3 linked regions of the Lytechinus pictus genome follow. The protein of the gene in region 2 binds, or shares a complex with, the protein of the main gene of each other region. Links are inferred from orthologs where the notes say so. Each region holds a gene or a part of one and is shown on either strand. Other genes may lie near its edges.

Region 1 (6,451 bases), on a different chromosome or scaffold from region 2:
GTAGTAGTTTGAGGATATGACACTCGAAGCCCCATCATTTGGATCTAAATCAATTTTAAGTTCATCATTGTTAGCTCCAATATCATTAATAACATCATTGGAATCATTGGAAATGTTCGTAATCATATCAAAGTCAATCATTATTTACATAAAACACCAGTATAATATAAACATATATGCGTAAGAGAGTTTTACTTAATTTTGTTCAGATCCTCTTCTCGATGAATTGCAACCGGTGGAACATTCGGGCTCTTCCTCACCAGAATGGTGCCATTCACTGTCCATAAGAACATGTATCCCGCCTTCTTTCTCTCGTCATTTGCCTTCTTCAGGAGAGACTTCTTAGCTGGGGCTAGATTTTCGTTGAGAAACACCTTTCCTTCATCTCTTGAGAATCCCAGTTGACGGGTTGATGTTTCCCTCAGTTTTTTCCGGCCTGAGTATAGAGTATCCCTCATCCTTCTGGTCGTGAATCTAACGATGATTGGTCTGGCTGGACCACCTTCTCTTCTCTGACCAAGTCGATGTGTCACATCAATGTCGTCGTTGGATACCTCTGGTGAAATTTTCTTCATGACGTGAAGGACAGCCTCCCTCACATTCTCACCTTCCTTCTCAGGAACACCTGCCACTTCTAAGTTGATCCTTCTGTGATATTGATCCAAATCATTCACTTGGTGTTCAAGTGTCGTCATCTTTGCTTTCAGATCCTCATTTTCTTTCTTCATAGAAGCATTCTCACTACTCAGCCTTTTCACCTCGCAGGTGAGCTCATCCACTTTATCGCTGAAGAACTCAGCAGATTTTCGAAGTTCATCTTGACCAGATTTAATTTCATTGAGTTGTGATGTTAGTGTTTTGTTTAGTTTTTGAAGTTCAGACTTGATTTCAATGAAATCTTCGAACGTTATGGACTGATTTTTCTTAGGTCCTGGCATACTCTGTTTATCGATGACGTCACACTGACCCGACCTGATTTGGATGAGATGGATGGAGATGGATGTTGCGCTTCAAAGATGCCTTTTAGCGTAAAGTCATATGCGTCTTAGTGATGCGCGTTAGTATCTCGCGCGTGATGTTGATTTTCAAACAAGATTGAATATTAAAATTGACGAAAATTAATGTTCTTACCGACGATAACGTCGCAGTTTTCAAAAGTCAAACAATAAAAATCACATCACTGGCTTTGGTGTCCAATTAGCTTTCACACAATGTAAAATGAAGCAGTCATTTCAAAGTATTTCCAAGTATTTGTTGACAATATTCAGAGCAAAGCAAAAACACGTCTTCTCCCTCCAAATTATTTATCACCTGATAAACAGTTTCTCCACCAAAATAATTACAAATTTAGCGGGAAATTTTGAGAATCGGGAGGAACAACAAATAACTAGATCTAGTTGTTTCAGCTTTCATTTTGAGTCTTGTTGTGATCGGTGCGAACTTGTAATGAGATGGGAGATGCCTGTGTATGATGCCACCGTTATTTCATCTAATTTTTAAGTTTGACAATGTTTCACTTTTAAATCTTATTCATTTCTAAAACATTTTATTTCTTAAAAATTGTAAGAATGTATTAAAAAACACCAAATATGATTTTTGTTAGATGATTGGATTTTTGTTGCTTGAAGTTTGAATTTTTTCCTCTTTCTTTCTTTTTTATCCTTCTTTCTTCTATCCTTCCTGCTTGCCCTTTTTTATTCTAATTTCTATCTTTATTTACTATTTTTCTTTCCAGGCTGATCCTTTCTCTCTCTTAATTTTTTCTTTCCTTCTTTCTCTTACTTTCCTTCTTGTTCCTTTTTAAATTTCCTTCATTCTTTCTTTCCTTATTTTTTTGCTTCCTTTTCTCCCTTCCTCTCCTTTTTCTTTTCGTTCTTTCTCTCCTTCCATTATTTTCTTTTTTTTTCATTCTAGCTCTCCTCCTTTCATTCCGACATTTATACAATATTTATTATATTTTAAAACATTAAAAAAAAAAAAAAATTATAATGAGAAGATGAGATCAAACTTACCGATGTTTACGTGGCCATCTTGTCCTCTTTGTTGGTAGCTAAGCTACGAGACGCATATAAAGGGCGGCAGATGTCTGCAAACAATTCACACACACATACAAAAGTGCATAATATATATGCGTGAGAGTTACTCCATTTTTATTGAGTCACTGTACTTGCATTACAATACTGTACAAGTGTACATTAGATAGTTTAATGTATTTGTAGAACAAGGAGAAAAAAGACAAAGGAGGACTGTCAAGTGTCAACATAAAAGAGTATATTGCTATAATAACGTCAAAAGAAAGTAAATTTTTTTATATATTTTGAGATTTTTTTAGCTGTAACGCCAAATGAAAATCAATTTTAAGTATCATAAAAGTAGATGTACATTAAGTGTATTTTCTAATCAGCTTCATCTTTATTCTTATTTTGTATATTTGTCTTATAAAGGAATGGAACCTCCACAAGACCAAGAGCAGATCCGATTTGAAGTGGAATTGGAGTTTGTTCAGTGCCTAGCCAACCCTCACTATCTTAACTGTAAGTATGAATAGTAGATACCTCTACTCTCTTAATGCAGTTCCTGAAATGTTCTTCAAATTCAGAATACTGGCTTACACTTAAAAAATCCTTACAATCTCTTCATATTTTATTGAACCATGTTGTTTTGGGACGGTACAAAACAAAAAAAATCCTTTTGATATTGTGTTAATAGTATATGCAATGAAAGAGATAGGAATTCTCACAATTGTTCATAGAATACTTGTTATAAATCTTTATACGTTGTGGTACATCCCTTATCTTCAATTATTATTCTGATATTTTTCTTTCATTTTACAGTTCTTGCCCAGAGAGGTTACTTCAAAGATAAAAAGTTTGTTAACTATCTTCAGTATCTTCAATATTGGAAGGAGCCTAAGTATGCCAAATATCTCAAGTAAGAATCAGAGTTTGATTGTAATCCATTTAAGACTTATTCAAATCAACTTTCTTTGTTTTCTTTTTTTTTTAACCCATAGAAGTATGCTTATACCATTACTCATTGAATATGATTTGGAAAATCTACTGTAGAATTGATACTTTTTCCAGCACAATATATGGTGCTATTCCTTCAAGAGAATGAAACCCTTGAAACCAGTTGAATTCATAGAAAAGAGAAAACTCTAAGAAATAGAAACAGAAAGCTTGAGGAAGTTTGAATGAATGATAAGAAAGTTATGAGCATTTGAATATTGAGATCACTAATGCTATGTAATGTCACACACATACAGTTTCCCCATGACTTTAATACATATCTACATGTAGTCTATCACAAGATTAGGTGTTCTTTTTATGAGAGGATACGTAATAGAGGTTTTCACAACATAAAATCCTAAATGTGTTGTTTGTCATATTATTAGAATGATAAAAAAGTGATCCTTGAGTATATTTCAGAGTTCTTTCTTTATGATTAATGATGAAGGAAACCTTTAGTAATTATTCCCAGACAGGTCTGAATGGCCTGAGTGTGAAATAAGCTGACAAATTGAATCTGTTTAAGAGAGATTTGTGTCATGATTGGCTATACATATTTGAAATATTACTTTATACCAGAGATCAAATTAGAACTGAATTCAGTATACAGACATTAGCTTAGTAACTACTATTTACATATAATTTCCAGGCTTGTTTGAAAGTCTTGTGCATCAAAATGAGTCAATAAAATTGAATTTGCTAAAATTAAGTGGTGCTAGAAAGATATACACATGTATACTGGTGAGCGTGTCTAAAGTCAAATCTCTAAAGGACTACAGGAATCAGTCCCTGTTCGAAATAGCAGAGGTACTAAATAGCACATGTTTTTGCGTTATCTGGTCTTAAGTAAATACCAACACATTAGAGATTGAATTTTGAAGACTTAAAGGGGAAGTTCACCCTGAAGAAAAGTTTATTGTAAAAATAGCAGAAAAAGTAATAAAAAATATTGGTGAAGGTTTGAAGATAATCCATCAAAGATTAAGAAAGTTATTAGAATTCAAAGTTTTGGATTTGTGACGTCATATGCGAGCAGCATTCCTACATAGCGAATGGTAAAAAATCAATGAAATGTCATTTTCTCAGAAAATTGAAAATGGTTTTACTGAGCCTTTTGTATATCAATAGACAAATCATTTCACACCCAATCATAAATAGAAAACAAAATAAAGTCATCAGGAACCATAAAAAATTTGAAATTCATTGATTTTTTACCATTCGCTATGTAGAAATGCTGCACGCATATGAAGTCACAAATCCAAAACTTTGAATTCTAATAACTTTCTTTATCTTTAATCCTCAAACCTTCACCAATATTTTTTATTATTTTTTCTGCTGTTTTTACAACAAACTTTTCTTCAGGGCGAACTTCCCCTTTAAATGTGTATGTAATACTTGATTGATTGATTTTTTTAAAGTGATCCATTTGTTACTTGTTTTGGTATTAGATTTCCACAATGTCTTCATTTCTTGGAGCTGTTGCAGTATGAACACTTTAGGAGAGAATTAGCCAATGCACAGTGTGTCAAGTTTATTGAGGATCAGCAGCTTCTGCATTGGCAACACTACACTCGGAGGCGTATGAGACTACAACAGTCTCATCTAGAGAACATGCAGCAACATCAACAACTCACCCAGCAACAGCAGCAACAAGGAGTCCCAGGAGCTGCCGGCGGAGTGGCAACAAGTGGGACTTCAAATCAGCCAGCAGGGATCATGCAAGCGCCCTTGCCACCTCAGCAACATCCTCATCAGCAGCAACAACAGCAGCAACATGCTTCACAACATCAGCAGCAACAACATCAACAAATGGCTTCACAAATGAGAACTGGTCAACAAGAACAAAAGCCATTACAACAAGGATCTACAACACAACAAACAATGAAATGATAATTAAGAATACAATCCCATTTATGCTTCTTCTGTGATGGCTAATACCTAGCCGCTGAAGTTAGCTTATGGAATTTCTTTGTATGAGAATATCAGAAGAAGATATTTAAAGACGTTGTTGGAAGAAAGATTGAACACCAAGTGGAGCTAAGTTGCATTACTTCCTACAGTTCAACCAAATTATTGTAGCCACATCGTCTAGTGGTTCAGACTTTTGACTTTCAATCTAAGGGTTGCAAGTGTACACCCACTCCAGGATGGTAATTTCCTTCAAGAAATTTGTCCACATGACCCAGGTGATGTACACATTTGGATGGTTCTGCTGGTAGAATTTATTCATTGAATGGACAAATCATATTGATGATGATTAATTGAACTAAAGCTGGAGTAGTAATATCTTTAGTTATATTAAAGTGCAAACATACTTTAGTTTATTATAGCTGAAGCAACCTCAGAGACCAAAAAAGCTACAATTTTAGTTAAATGTTGTATTTTTCTACACAGTAAACTCAGTTTTCAACAAGATATTGCTATATTTCTGATCCCTGCACTTAATCTCTGTTATAGAAAGTAATATCACCCAGTCCCCAAATTGCTGAATTGACAGCATCCTAGCACTTGACAGGGTGCATCTACAATGATCTGTTGTTTAAGCCTATTTCAAGTTTTGGTAAAAAAAAATTATGGTATTGAATTGAATAATGACTCTTGTTTGTCCTTTAAAAAAAAATAAAAATCTTTGGCTACTCAGCTGAATTAAATCTTGAGGTTAATCCAAGAATTGTGATGATCAAATTAAATTAATAAAAATGTATGAGTGATACTTGAAATTGGTTTTGATTTATATATTTTTATTTCCCTTTTGTACAGACAAGTTATGCATCAAAACTATCTTTTCTGAAATAAAAACAGCAATGAATTTTATGCACATGATATTATTGTGATGATTCCCAATGTCAAATGGAATGTTAATGTTAAGTTGAGCATCACAACCCCCCTTCATATCCTCCCAATTATGCATCCAGGGTTGATGCTAAGGTAATTTTGATGGGGGAGGGAAAGATGACCCATAAAGGGTTTATTATATTAATTTTTAATGAAGATAACCCATATTGCAAACTAGACGAAGTGGTGTAGACCAAGCATGCATACATCTATCATTTTCTCATGGTTACTTTGTATTATTTCAGAGAGGTATTCTCCCTGTCTCTATATTTTGTAAATAAATATCAACTGAAAATTTACATGGTATTGAGTTTGATGATACTTGACTTATTGATGGTTGTGACTGAAATCTTACTTGACCACGAAAGCCTTGAATAGAGACCAGCTCCTTCTGACCCTAGCTGTGTCCTGAACTACACATTATTTTGTATCAGTGTGTACATGTGTGTCTTTGCTGTGAGTAAATGTGAAGTTTCTGTGAGGTAAAATGTTTGAGTTGTGTTTTAGAATACCCATGTTGTATGTTTGTTTGTTCTGTATTTGCTTGTGCATATATTTTGTTTGATTCCTTGTTAATTTTGGGAAATTTACTCATCTACACTAAAAAA
Region 2 (6,451 bases):
CTACGGGGGGCATGGGGGGCACACCCCCCCCCCATCGGCTGACCAAAAAAAAAAAACGGGGAAAGGGGAAAGGAGAAAAGAGGGAGAAAGGAAGAGAAACGTACTGGGAAAGAAGAAAATATTATTCATTATAATGTTATATTATATTATAATTATGTTATGTTACATTACATAAGAAACATATTTATCATAACTTTATGAAACATAATTTGCCCAGGGCCTAAGTCTTCATTGTTCCTGGTGCTCGCATTGTCTGTTTAACGTGATATATAATCCTGTTGTACTAAAACATCCCGTTTTCAAGTCAATATAAACCAAATGTATTTCCTAGCACTTGAGTTATCATTGTTTTATGTAGTGACATATGCTTCTTTTTCACGACTAAAAAAGTGATTGCCCCATGTAAAGGTCTTCGTATATATGAAACATTTCCTGTCCGTGATTACGTTCGCATTAGTGGATTGGTGAGATATGTCTACTTTTCATAAATTCCTAAAATCAGTCCTTAAAATGTCCCTTCTGATCTGAATATCAAAAATTTTCAGCTCGCGCTTCGCGCTCGCATCATTTGGTTAATGAAATACGTATGGTCCTAGTTATTTCTTAAAAAAAAAACCTTAGAATGCCCCACTTCCGGTCTGAATTATCTAAATTTTCAGCTCGCGCTTCGCGCTCGCATTGTTTAGCGAGACAGGTACCTATCATGATTACACAAATTTGATTATAATGTCCCTTTTTAGGAGAGAATATGAAAAAAATTTCAGCTCGCGCTTCGCGCTCGCATTATTTGATCAGTGAGATACATATCAGTTTAATGACATCGTCCTTAAAATGTCTCTATTAGGGCAGTATAACTGGTAACTGAGCGCGCTCACTATAGCGCACTCACTCAGTGATTCAAAATTTTTGCTGGTGCCCCCCCCCCATGCCGTGATCACGGTACGCCACTGTGGACATATCAATGGCAATTCCTTGCATATCTAAAAACATGATTGCAAAAAAAATGCCAAAATATTTCAGTCATCCCCCCCCCCCACCCATCAACACGGATTTACGCCAGTGCGCTCTACCAGTCAGCAAAGTGATGTACAAGTACTGCCCCGTTTCAGATCTGAAAAGAACAGAACACAACACTAAAAAACTGGTAACTCTGCAGTTGGCAAATTCATGAAGACAAGTCTACAACTTGTAGACTTGTCTACAAGTTTGCAGTTGGCAAAAAACACAAAAATGTTCTAAGTTATATTTACAAATTATGTCGCCGAAGAATTTTTTTTAATTTATGGTGTCAGAATGTGCTTGGGGTGGGGATGGGTGGGATTGGGGGCAGGTTGGGGTTGCATCATTCCTGGTGCTCGCATTGTCTGACTAATGAGATATATAGTCCTGTTGTATTTTAAGTCCATAAAGATTATGCACCAAATTATCTCCTCGCACTTCAAGTTATTATTGTTTTATGAAGTGACATCTGCTTTTTTCATGACTATATACTTAAGGTGATTGCCCCCTATTAAGGCCTTAATAAAACATTTCCAGTCTGTGCTTACGTTCGCATTGGTGTGGACCGATTTAGATACCGGGCTGGTATTAAATCAACACTGGCGTTTTTGCAGTGCACAAATTCCTAAAGACAGTCCTTAAAATGTTCCCTTTTCTGATCTAATTATAACAAATTTTCAGCTCGCGCTTCGCGTTCGCATCACTTAATTAGTGAAATAGTAAATTCCTACAAACAAGCCATAGAAGGTCCAAATTGAAAAAATTGTCAGCTCGCGCTTCTCGCCCGCAATATTTCATTAGTGAAATACGTATCATGTTAATGATTACAATGACCACAAAAAGTGCTTCATGTACCAGTGTAATTCTAACAAAATCAGCAAGCGCTTGGCGCTTTCATTAGATGACTATGATGAGATACGTACGCACTTCATAAATTCCAAAAGATAGTCCTTAAAATGTCTCTTTTTAGGGTTAAGTTAAACAAAAAATTTCAGCCCGCGCTTCGCGCTCGCATTGTTTGTTTTGTGAGACAGGTACGTATCATGATTACAAAACTTTGCTTATGTCCCTTTTAGGACTGAATATCAAACATTTTCAGCTCGCGCTTCGCGCTCGCATTATTTGATCACTAAGATACATATCCGTTTAATGGCACAGTTTTAAAATGTCTCTATTAGGTCAGTATACCTGGCAATTGAGCACGCTTCGCGCGCCCACTTAATGACTCAAAATTTTTGCTGGTGCCCCCCCCATGCCGTGACCCACGGTACGCCACTGTTAGCAGTACTTAGCACTCTTGAAATTTCAGTTGAGACATCTTGCACAGAAGGTCAATTAAAAATTAACAAATCTTTGATTTTCATATTATTAATGCATATGGGGCATTATACTGCAAGTTAGCAACATCGGCACACTATAGCCTTTCTATTTTGATCCAAAATGTTTATTTTCACAGTGCAAATATCTTTGTATATTTTTGTATAATTTACCTTAAAGTATTCACCAAATGCCACTAATTCAATTCTAAAAATTCAAAATCTTTTAGCATGTGATTATTGTGGGGGGGGGGGGCACATCCCCCATCTGCCCTGTGCTCACGTTGGCGCTGTCACGCCAAATGTAGTTGGCAAATTTAGCTGGTACACCCCCCCCCAACAAAATGCTTCTGGCTACGGCCCTGCCTGTATGGACCCTTCAATTCCTACGTTAATCACTGGCGTACAGGGGGGGGGGGGGGGGGGGGGGCATAGCTTTAAACGAGATCAGTGTGGACGCCCTCTGCGTTTGTTGACTGTCATCTGACGCTTGAAGAAAAGGAAAATAGCCCTGATAAACTGCCTCAAAAAGAGGCTTCTTTGAAGTGGTGTCGCGATATCATTTTCTTCAAAATGCAGGTAAAGTCGGAATTAATAGAATATATTTTTATTTTATGGAATTTAGGAGGCACACGTCCCATAATGAAGTCTAATTTTCCCTAAAACTTAATTCCAGTCCCTTTCGTTTAAATTTGCGTCTCCAAATCTGACTGTAAGTGCAACTGCAAGTAAGTAAGTTGAACTTCAAAGTTCAAGTAACCTATACGGTTACCCCCAAATTAAGATAATAATTAATATTGGCGAATGATACATCAAATGAAAGGTCTTTGCATTAGAAATGAAAAAAAAAGAAAATTCGTCCAACCGTTGAGGAATTATGGGTAATAAAATATCAAATTTTTCTACCGCAAAAAATGCCAAAATGTGATGGCATGACTGACATGACTGATGCCTCAAATTTTTTTGTGGTATCTAACGTTAGTCTAAATTATATATTACGTTTGAAAATTGCGCCACGTCATTCCAAGAATATTTTCCCTCGAGTCTTGCGAAACTTTTTGAGTCCAAATTTACAATACTAAGTAATTAGTATACTCTGGGGCCCGTTTCTCAACACATGGACAAGTTAGTCATATCTTTATCCACCAACCACGGAGTTAGTTCCAATCTTACTAAATCTGTTTCTCGAAAAGTTTCCTAACTAGAATACCTTGATATCGATACTATCGGTAGAAAGAGCAGACGAGACGTAGCCTTAGTCACAAAATAGCATTAATATTCAAAAAGAAAAATTATGACAAAATTGCAAATATTGTGATAAATTGGGAAATAAATATTTTCAAAATAATAGCACAGGTGAATTATGCATCATACATACTTAGACCATGAAGACTTGAGCATTCAATTGCAGAGAAAATGAAATTATGAATAATTCATTTCATGACTAAAAAATCACTTGTGGACGTTGAGATTGGGTACCCCCGGGATATCCAATTTTAATAGTTTACGAAAGTAAACCATAACGGTTTTCTTTGTAAAATGATGATAATTATGCGGTCTTTTACGATTCCGAACGTCATCAAAATATAGTTCAACAAAACATTTTTAACCATTAATACCATCATACCGGAACATACGATATTTGACAAATTATATGCATAAATTAGAGATAGAATTTATCCAACTGTTAATAGGGGTCTGAAAACAACAAATACGAGTTCAGTTATGGATGGCCTGACGTGGTAGAATATTTATCGATTAAATCATTTTACTATTTCAAAATGAATGGTTTTGTGGCGTTTTACCAATAGTTTTTATAGTTTCTTTGTATTACAATTATCATTGAATGCATTAACCCACTTGTTTTGTGATGTAACTTCAACCTCTATGATGATTACGTAAGATTATGATTTTAAAATTTCTATGCGCTTTTGCATGTCATAGTCTACCCACGTGATGCCACTACGTCATTAAGAAAGAAGTTATGACAGGTTCGGAGGTGTCATAAATATTTAGTGAGGTTGTTGTACCCGATCTTGGTAAAGAGGGCTTCGTGAAACGGTTAGCGGACAAGTAGCTCACTATCTCCGATTTAGTCAAGAAGTTAGACTTATGACGGTGTTGAGAAACGGGCCCCTGGTATGCGGATATATAGTAGGCCTAGCCTTGAAGTTGAGGACTCCATGATGATGTTTTTTAAATATTTTGACATATACTTCTTCATTATGGAGCCTTGACACTCTTTCCATAGACGCTGCAGTAAGACCTACACACCCGGATGGATTTCCCTAGGAAATCCATAGTTAAAAGGTGAAATCGGTTTGTAGAGGTGAATTTTATTTATCTATCAACCTTCATGCGCCTAGCCAGGGCAGGAGGCTTCTAGAGAGTAAAAATAATTTACTAACGTATACTTACTCTCCATGAAGCCAGGAATTCCTTTCCATTCATCTGCACGTACCGGCCAAAAACCTGAAACTTTCGCCCCTGAGATTTCTACTTCTAAAAGATCTAGCCCTAAATCATGCGCATGGGATACAACTTCATTTCCAACATTTCTACGCTATCAATTTTATTTTTAAACAAGAATTCATCCAAAAAATGAGAAAAATATTATAAAAAGACGGAAGAGACTTGCCCGATGTTTACGCCGCCATCTTGTTTCCTATTGTTCTTCCCCAACGTTACGGACGCGTCCGTCATTTTTTTCTTTTTTAATTTTAGAATCAAGACAAAGTTTTGGACAATTCTTTGGATTACATCTCGAGCAGAGTCAACGATTTGAAGAAGGCCCTAACAGACCTTCTCATGAAACTTGAACATCATCATGAAACTCTCAGTTGGTAAGTTAACACGACAGCATTATGACAATACTAATGAAAAAAAAAGAAAACAAACAACCAAAAGAAATTGAAAAAAAAATGGGTATATAATATTTTCACAGCTAAAAGCTCTCAGCCACAACTTTGTTTTTCTTAATCTACAGTTTGCACCCTTACAATATGTTGATTTTATTAAAAGAAAATAATGGCTTAAAAGAAAATAATTAAATAAATCAACCAAGTATAGCTAATGTGCTAATAAAATGCTCCGTTTGTACCACATGTATAATAAATTAAGTACCGGTATTTCAATTTTAAACCAATATATTGAATCAAAAAAAAAAAGTAAATTAATGCATGACTTTGTTCAATTTAAAGACATGAATATCCAAAATGGAATCTCAAAGTTTTCCTGTCTATTTTAATTGGTATGACCGCATTGTAGATACAGTATTTTCTCCGAAAAATTGTAGGGAAAATAGTCTAAATCTTCTATTAATCTATCTGTCTTTGCAGGCCATCTGTTCTCAACAGTTTTGCTCTATTATCAGGTATGTATTTTTTTCATTGGTCAAATTACTATAATTTCCGTTCATATTAAAGATGATATTACTCTAGCAAAGTTATTGAAAACTTTGGTTGCAGGCCAATGTATAATATGAATGTAATAATTTTTTGCTTTGTGTTATATTTTGGAATATCATGTTTGTAATATTCTGTTTGGTTTTAAGATGGTAGCATAATAAATAAAGCAATTAATATCTTATTTCAAATTACAGGTCAGATTAACACATTACATCGGCATCTCAAGAGTGATAAGACTCCAGCACTGAAGAACCTGATCATTCTCCCACTCAAACTATCACAAGATAGAGATGAAGAACTAGAGGTATGCATTTGCTTTCACAAACATTTACCTTCATTGGTGGAATACGCCACAAGGAGTGGAGATTGATACTAAGTCTAATGCAGGGCGCGACAAACCCGCTTGCCCGGGGCAAGTGAAAAGGACGTGCGGGCAAGCATTTCTCAAAGTCAATTGCCCGATCGGACAAGTGGTTGTTTTGGAAATAAAATACCAGTAGACCCTTTAAATTTCAATATCTTTTGGATAATCACAACTATCTCTCACTCATATTATGTCAAACCAGTAATAAAAAACAGTGGAAACTGATGTAAAATCAGCGCCAATTACCAATAATTTATCGCCAGGTACCTCGTTTGAAAAACCATGCCATTGCATCTTGCGTTCTATGTGTGCAATGACTGCGCATGCGCTACTATCTTGCGCAATTTGCCGATGCAAACAAACAA
Region 3 (6,451 bases), on a different chromosome or scaffold from region 2:
CTACTTTCTTTTAGCTTTAAATTCAGGAGTCACAACACAGCATGTAGACCTGTAGACTACATCATAGCAAAATTAAATGTTGCACTGACAGCATTTGAAACTGTCAGGTGAATAAACAATACATGTGAATATACATGTAACCATCCAGTGGAAATTGCATTATTTGATCAGTCAAGATATCCCTAAAATAGTGTCATGATATAGTATGGTTTCTGACCCTTGACCTTCAATCAGAGGGACATGGGTTCAAATCCAAGCCACTGTGCTGATTCTTTCAGCAAAATAAAAAGCATTCACATCCTGCTGGGAGTGCTGGAGTTGACCCAGAAAATGTGAACTAGAAAACTTGAATATGCCCAAGCATCTGAAAGCACTACTGGAGTCAAAGCAATGCCCTTTGAAACAGCATAAATATTATGCACTCCTATTATGCACTGTACAAAACAAAATATTCAAATATGTATCTTTGTCCAACAAAAAATATGTCTATATTCAGAGTGCATCAATAAGATCACACATGAGTTTATCCTTGTAGCGAGATCCTTCATTCTTTTCTTTATCAACCTTATCTTCAACTTCTCTCTTGACAACAACATCATCTCCTTTTACCCTGGCCATCATCTCAGCTGCCTCTGGTTCTATCTTAACAGCAACTTTGCTATCAATGTTCTCAACATTGTCAGGTAACGACATAAAACACCCCTGAAGAATCTCCGTCACCTTCTCCAAGTGTTTTTGGAAACGTTCTGCCGTATCAAGTCTCTGTCGTTTCTGCACCTCCATCATGACACGCAGCGTTTCCCTGGCTTGGTGTGGACGAAATTCATTGATCAAATGATGCATGTGAATGAAGAGGAGATTCATATCGTCCAACTTTTCCTCTCTCCTTGGCCCGTTCGGACAGACGATAAGTGTGTCTATGAGGTCGAGGAAGTTCACAAGAATGGAATGGTTGATTTTCTTTAGCTCCTTCTTGTGGTCGAACCGCTGCGGATGAAGACGCTTCAAACCCTGCGACTCGAGAGGACGAATGATATCATCATTGGAAACGAATGTGGCTCCAAACATTCCATATGCTTCTTGTACGGGTAGAGGAGGTTTAGGCGTGGTCTTGTTGAGTACTCGCTCATCAGTGTAGTTAGCAATATACATCATTGGAGGGAGAGGGAGAGAGCTTACTCCCTGTGGTTCATTCATGTTGTCTGCAGAAAAATAAGAGGGAAAATAAGTTAACAATATTATCAAGAAAGTGCCAATTATCTTATAGTGTGGAAATGTTTTAAATCTTATTTGATTAATTTCTTCCATCTTATTTCCTTTCAATTTCTGTTGCCGGTACATGATTAATGTATTTGGCATGGTAAATTGGTAAAAATAATACTTTCATAGCCAGCCCAATTCAAATGCCTATTTTTAGCAAACTCATTTGAGATCAATTTTTGCAAAGCTTTTCTCTCCAAAAAAAAATGCATTAATCACCTGAATTTCAGCCACACAGGGAAAAGTTATATTCTTGCTTCGATCTCTATGCTGATTGTTTTAATACTCAGTCACACTTTGTCTTTGCCAAATACATGGCCTAAGTTGACGTAAAAATTGAATTTAAAAAAAGATCAAATTTCCATTTGAACTTTTTTTTAAATCCGCGGGGGGGGGGGGGGGGGGGGTGTTTCACAAAGATTTAACTGTATGACTTAAAAGTTAAAGTCGCAATGAAACGCGCAATCCTATTGATCAATAGACAATACGTAGTGCGCGTCCTCTTGGCATGATCTGACAAATGTAGTCACGCCTGGCTTTACATGTAACGTTAGACCTAGGCTAGACCTGATGATGTATACCGCATGTGACAACTTGGACCAAAGGCTTTGGTCTCTGTCAGCGGCGTAACAGGGGTCGCGGGCCAGGGGGGCAAGAGCCAAATTTTTCCCGGATGCGAGTAAAGTGAATTGAATTTGTTAAGTCGCCAGCGTGCAAAGCGAGCTGGAAAAAAAAATTGCCTATTGAAATTAAATTCTAATTATGTGATAGATTTTTCCATTATATTCAGCAAATAACACATTTCATTGTTTCCATTCATTTCATTATACGTTGTCTCCTAAAATTTATTTTATTTCCTCTTGGGTGTGGAACCAAGACCCCCCCCCCCCCCCCCGCGCCTGTATGCCAGTGATTGAACGTCATTGAACGGGGGCGTTATAGAGCCATTTGATGGTTATAGATGAAGAGCCCCTACTGCGGGTACTGCAAAGCCCCGGTAGCTTATTTGCATAAAATTTAGCAAGCTTACATGTATAGCACAATGTTGTGTGCAGTCCATCTTTCTTCTCGCTCTTTATTTTCAATCCTTGGCAGCCCGGTCATGTTATCGTTTTTCTTTTTCTTGTCCCTTTTCTTTTTCTTATCTAGCTTTTGACTTATTCCATTCTACAATGTACCTTCGTTTCCCGCTATTGTTTGCCATTTTGTCATCTTTTAATTTATTTCCCATCATGCTATTGCATCACATAAGCCTATTTTGGAATGATTTGTTCTTTGTCAAATGTTCTTCTTTCGCACCTTTTCCCGCTTTTTTTCCTTTTCCATAAAAAAAAAAAATCTTCGTTTTCTTTTCCCTTTCCTTTTCCTCCTTTCCTCCCCCTTTCCTTCTCCCTCCCTTTTTTTCTTTTCCCTGTTTTTTTTTATTTTCCCGGTGAAATCCGCCAGGGCCCCCCCCCCCCCCCCCCCGCCTGTTACGCCACTGGTCTCTGTTATATTGGTTGTTCCGCTGAACTCCGTTGGCTCGATCCACTCACCAATTTATACAGAGACCGAAGTTCTAACTCGATCTGTACAGGGACTCAATGCCAATGGCCATACTATGTATTAAGTTTGTATAAACCAGGGAAGTGGGAGTTGCGCGACAGCTGAAGTACTCCATGTAAGTCACTGTTTTTGTTGTTTTTTTCCTTTTTTAATTTTAGTTTTATTTTTTTAAGTTTAATTTTTTCCTATTTTGGTGCATTTCAGGCCAAAATGGAATAATAACCTGGCTTTATTTTGGTCCAGTTCTTATTTATATTATATAATTTCATAATATGAAATAAAGACGAAAATCGATGAGCCCCGTCAAGGGGATTTTGCATTGTTAAACCCCTAATGGCGGCTGCATGATCGTGAGCCGTCTGTGACTGTGTACGAGGAGAAATTTAAAAAACAATGTAAAAAGAAAAACTCCTCGAAACAGACGGCTGCCAGCCGTCTGTTGACGACTCAAATGCGACCCTAAGTTAGTCATACTTGACTCTTGACCCCCCTGAACTAAGTAATTTAAGGCACATGTGCAACACTAACTTCAGAGTCAGATTAACAATCAACACAGTATTACGCAGCTGCCTTTGCCTAGCCTTCACAAGCCAGACTCCTCCCCGGAAGTTCAGGCAGGCGAAGGAATAAAATACCGCACACATGAAACTTGCAATAAAATACCGCACACATGAAACTTGCCTCGCAGTGATCGATCACCGGCAAGTCATTAAAATAACTTAAATAAGCGTAAAATTTCGTATGAACTCACATTAGCCTGGATTGATGTTTGAGCCACTCGAAGACTGAAAATTTGAAACAAATTTCGAACAGATCAGCACTAGAAATAGGCAAGGAAAAACGAAGATTTCTCTTCTGCCGTACCTCTAGTCTAGCTCTTCGGCGCGGCGCCGGCTAGCTAGCTAGCTTGGATGACAATCGTCTAAAGATGGCGCTACAGTGTTCGTTATAATGCATGAACACAAAATTAGCATTTATATTTTTTTCAAAAGCTGTATACTGTATGATTGCAAGAACATGACTTTATCTAACTTAATAGTATTAATGAAAGATAATCGACCCTATACAAGTATCCAGCCCTATCACTTTTTTTCCTTTTTTTTGCCTTCCTTTCTTTCAATATCTTCCGATCTTCGCTTCTTTATATATTTATCTCTTCTTTTTTCCATTCCTTGTTTATTCTTTCCTTTATTTCTGAATTTTAAATTCTTTAAATTGGCTGAGCATCTAGAAATATTACATTGGCTGTCATCATTATCCTTGTAACCTACAATCCAACATGAATCTATTTTTTTCTGGACTTGTCGTCTTGAAAATTATATACGTTTTTGTGTACTTTTCTAGACTGACCCCTCCCAAAGTAAGAAAATAAGGTGATCCTGAGTTTTCTCCTCTGCTCTTGTCTAGCTTCGTCCCCACATTCCCTCCTCCTCCTTCTTCTCCATCATCATCTTATTCTTCCTCTTCTTCTTTTCCCTCCTTTTCCCCCCTCTTATGAAATTATTAATTGCAATGATCACTATATCCATCTCCTGCCATGACCTTCAATGTATTACATGTACATACAGTAGGGAGGCAGCGTAGCTCAGTCGGTTAGAGCGCATGTTTCGGATAAGATCGTAGATCTCAACGTGAGGGGTTCGAGTCCCGCTCATGCCGAAACGCGTCTAACAAAAAAAGTCTGATGCTATAGCGTTGTGTGTTAGCGTGCCTCACCACTGTATTCAGTGCAGGTGTGAATACAGTTGGAAAACACTCCGTCCATCGGAAAGGACGCAAATGTTGGTCCCGTGTATAGGAGAGGTACAACCTATGCACGTTAAAACCAATACACTATTCGTCAAAGAGTAGGGTGTTCACCCGGTGTATTGCACCTGCCGGTCCCGGCAAAAATCCAGGTCAAGTACCCGATGCGTTTATGCCCAGAAGGGCCCTGCATCGTATACATCCAGATCCAGTGGTGCTAAAAAGTTTAGTGAACCCCACCAGAAAATGAATATATTTCAAGTGCTCAAGTTCTGCCTTGTATAAGACATATTTGTAATTGTGAAGTCAGGTGATAAAATATTAAATTCAATAAGGTTTGTTTCTCTGGGCTTGCTAAACATTGTAGTGCTCCTGTATCCATTGTTTGTTAGTTAGTTTGTTTATTTATTTTATGATTATTAAAAACACAATACATATTATATATATAACAAATAGATGGCATCAATTGAAATAAACAAAATGAATTGCAAATATGTTGAATATATAAAATAATCAAAAGGATTGCCCATTGAACACTCAGCATAAAGGAGTACATTTTCTGGTGGGGTGCACTAACTTTTTAACACCACTGTACACTTTACCCTCTGAACACTTCAAAGCCAATACAGACACAGAATGTGGAGAAATACACCATGCAAATGAACTTCATTTGTGAGAGACATGGAAGATTTTTTATTTATCATTGGCCCAATGATCATACAAAATATGGTAAACATATTATCGGGAACATTTTTAAAGTAAAAAAAGGGTCGAGTTTCACTGTGCCTTAGAAGTTTAGAAAGAGATGCATTGAATAATATTACTTCACATACAATCAATCATCTTTGTAATACACTTATGTATGTCATATCACAGGGCTAAAATCAAATCTATTAAGATAAAAAAAAAACTCCTGATTTGAAACGAAGAATACATTTGCTAATCAATTCCATTGCACTTTATAAGAATTTAAACCCCAGATAACTTTGATTAAATTAATCCCATCACCCACCGAAATAAATAAAACACATATTTGAAATGTGTAGGCAGTAATAGACATAACAAGTACTTACAAACATATGTCTATTAAATAAGAAATATTGTTGGAAGTACATAAGAGTAGACTTAGAATAATAACTGTAAAATCTACTGTTCAACAATGAATATTCATAGGGAGGTTTTGTTTTGAAAATATAAAGATAACGAAGAATGTCAGTTCTCTTTAAAATATGCATATTCGTAGAGATAAAAATGCAAATGAAATATTTGTATTGTGACATGAGTAGGCACATTACTATTCATGATAAATATTGTTTAAAAATGAATATTCATAGTCTTATTACTGAATGCATAGCAATGGTAATTATATGAATATTATTATTTCAAAATTTGTACTGATCACAAAACAATATCCAGTCTTTACATTGATGGATAATGGATAGGTACTGTTAAATGAATATTGATATTCAGAATTGGTACGGTACTATAAAAAATGAAGAAAAAAAATCAAATGTAAGGGCAATATAAGATGAACATTTACACAAACGTGAAATAATCCTAGGCCATTAAATTACCCCCTTTTCACTTTTGTGATCCATTTTAGCAATTCTTGGAAATTTATGATTAGTATTGAATATATTTGCTAAATGAATAATAAATGGAATTACAGTATTTTATTATTTTTTTTACAAATGATAAGAAGGCCAATAATTCTAATTGCACAACTTGTCAGCCAGACATGCATATTTTTCCAAGTTACAATAGTGAGTACATGACATCCCAATGAAAGAAATTTTTGGTTCAGAAGTATAACAAATACAATTGCAAATGAGGAATTTCCAAACAAATAAAACTTTTCAATAACCTTTTTCAATTAATCGTTGGGGTTTTTTATTGGTAG

What was found. The genes of interacting proteins can lie anywhere in the genome.
Region 1: mediator of RNA polymerase II transcription subunit 8-like (region 2) and mediator of RNA polymerase II transcription subunit 31-like share a complex: the UniProt entries of both Drosophila melanogaster proteins name them as parts of the mediator complex. The link is inferred for Lytechinus pictus from reciprocal best matches to the Drosophila melanogaster genes MED8 and MED31.
Region 3: mediator of RNA polymerase II transcription subunit 8-like (region 2) and mediator of RNA polymerase II transcription subunit 7-A-like share a complex: the UniProt entries of both Drosophila melanogaster proteins name them as parts of the mediator complex. The link is inferred for Lytechinus pictus from reciprocal best matches to the Drosophila melanogaster genes MED8 and MED7.

What each region holds. Positions count from the first base shown.
Region 1 is NC_087246.1:17,369,367-17,375,817, forward strand, and holds mediator of RNA polymerase II transcription subunit 31-like, read left to right. Parts: upstream 1-2,438; 5' UTR 2,439-2,446; coding exon 2,447-2,534; intron 2,535-2,834; coding exon 2,835-2,931; intron 2,932-4,456; coding exon 4,457-4,898; 3' UTR 4,899-6,142; downstream 6,143-6,451. UniProt on the Drosophila melanogaster protein: Component of the Mediator complex, a coactivator involved in the regulated transcription of nearly all RNA polymerase II-dependent genes.
Region 2 is NC_087255.1:17,124,059-17,130,509, forward strand, and holds the start of mediator of RNA polymerase II transcription subunit 8-like, read left to right. Parts: upstream 1-2,770; 5' UTR 2,771-2,888; coding exon 2,889-2,894; intron 2,895-5,039; coding exon 5,040-5,158; intron 5,159-5,653; coding exon 5,654-5,688; intron 5,689-5,916; coding exon 5,917-6,026; intron 6,027-6,451. UniProt on the Drosophila melanogaster protein: Component of the Mediator complex, a coactivator involved in the regulated transcription of nearly all RNA polymerase II-dependent genes.
Region 3 is NC_087254.1:21,136,537-21,142,987, reverse strand, and holds the start of mediator of RNA polymerase II transcription subunit 7-A-like, read right to left. Parts: upstream 3,730-6,451; 5' UTR 3,557-3,729; intron 1,203-3,556; 5' UTR 1,198-1,202; coding exon 493-1,197; 3' UTR 1-492. UniProt on the Drosophila melanogaster protein: Component of the Mediator complex, a coactivator involved in the regulated transcription of nearly all RNA polymerase II-dependent genes.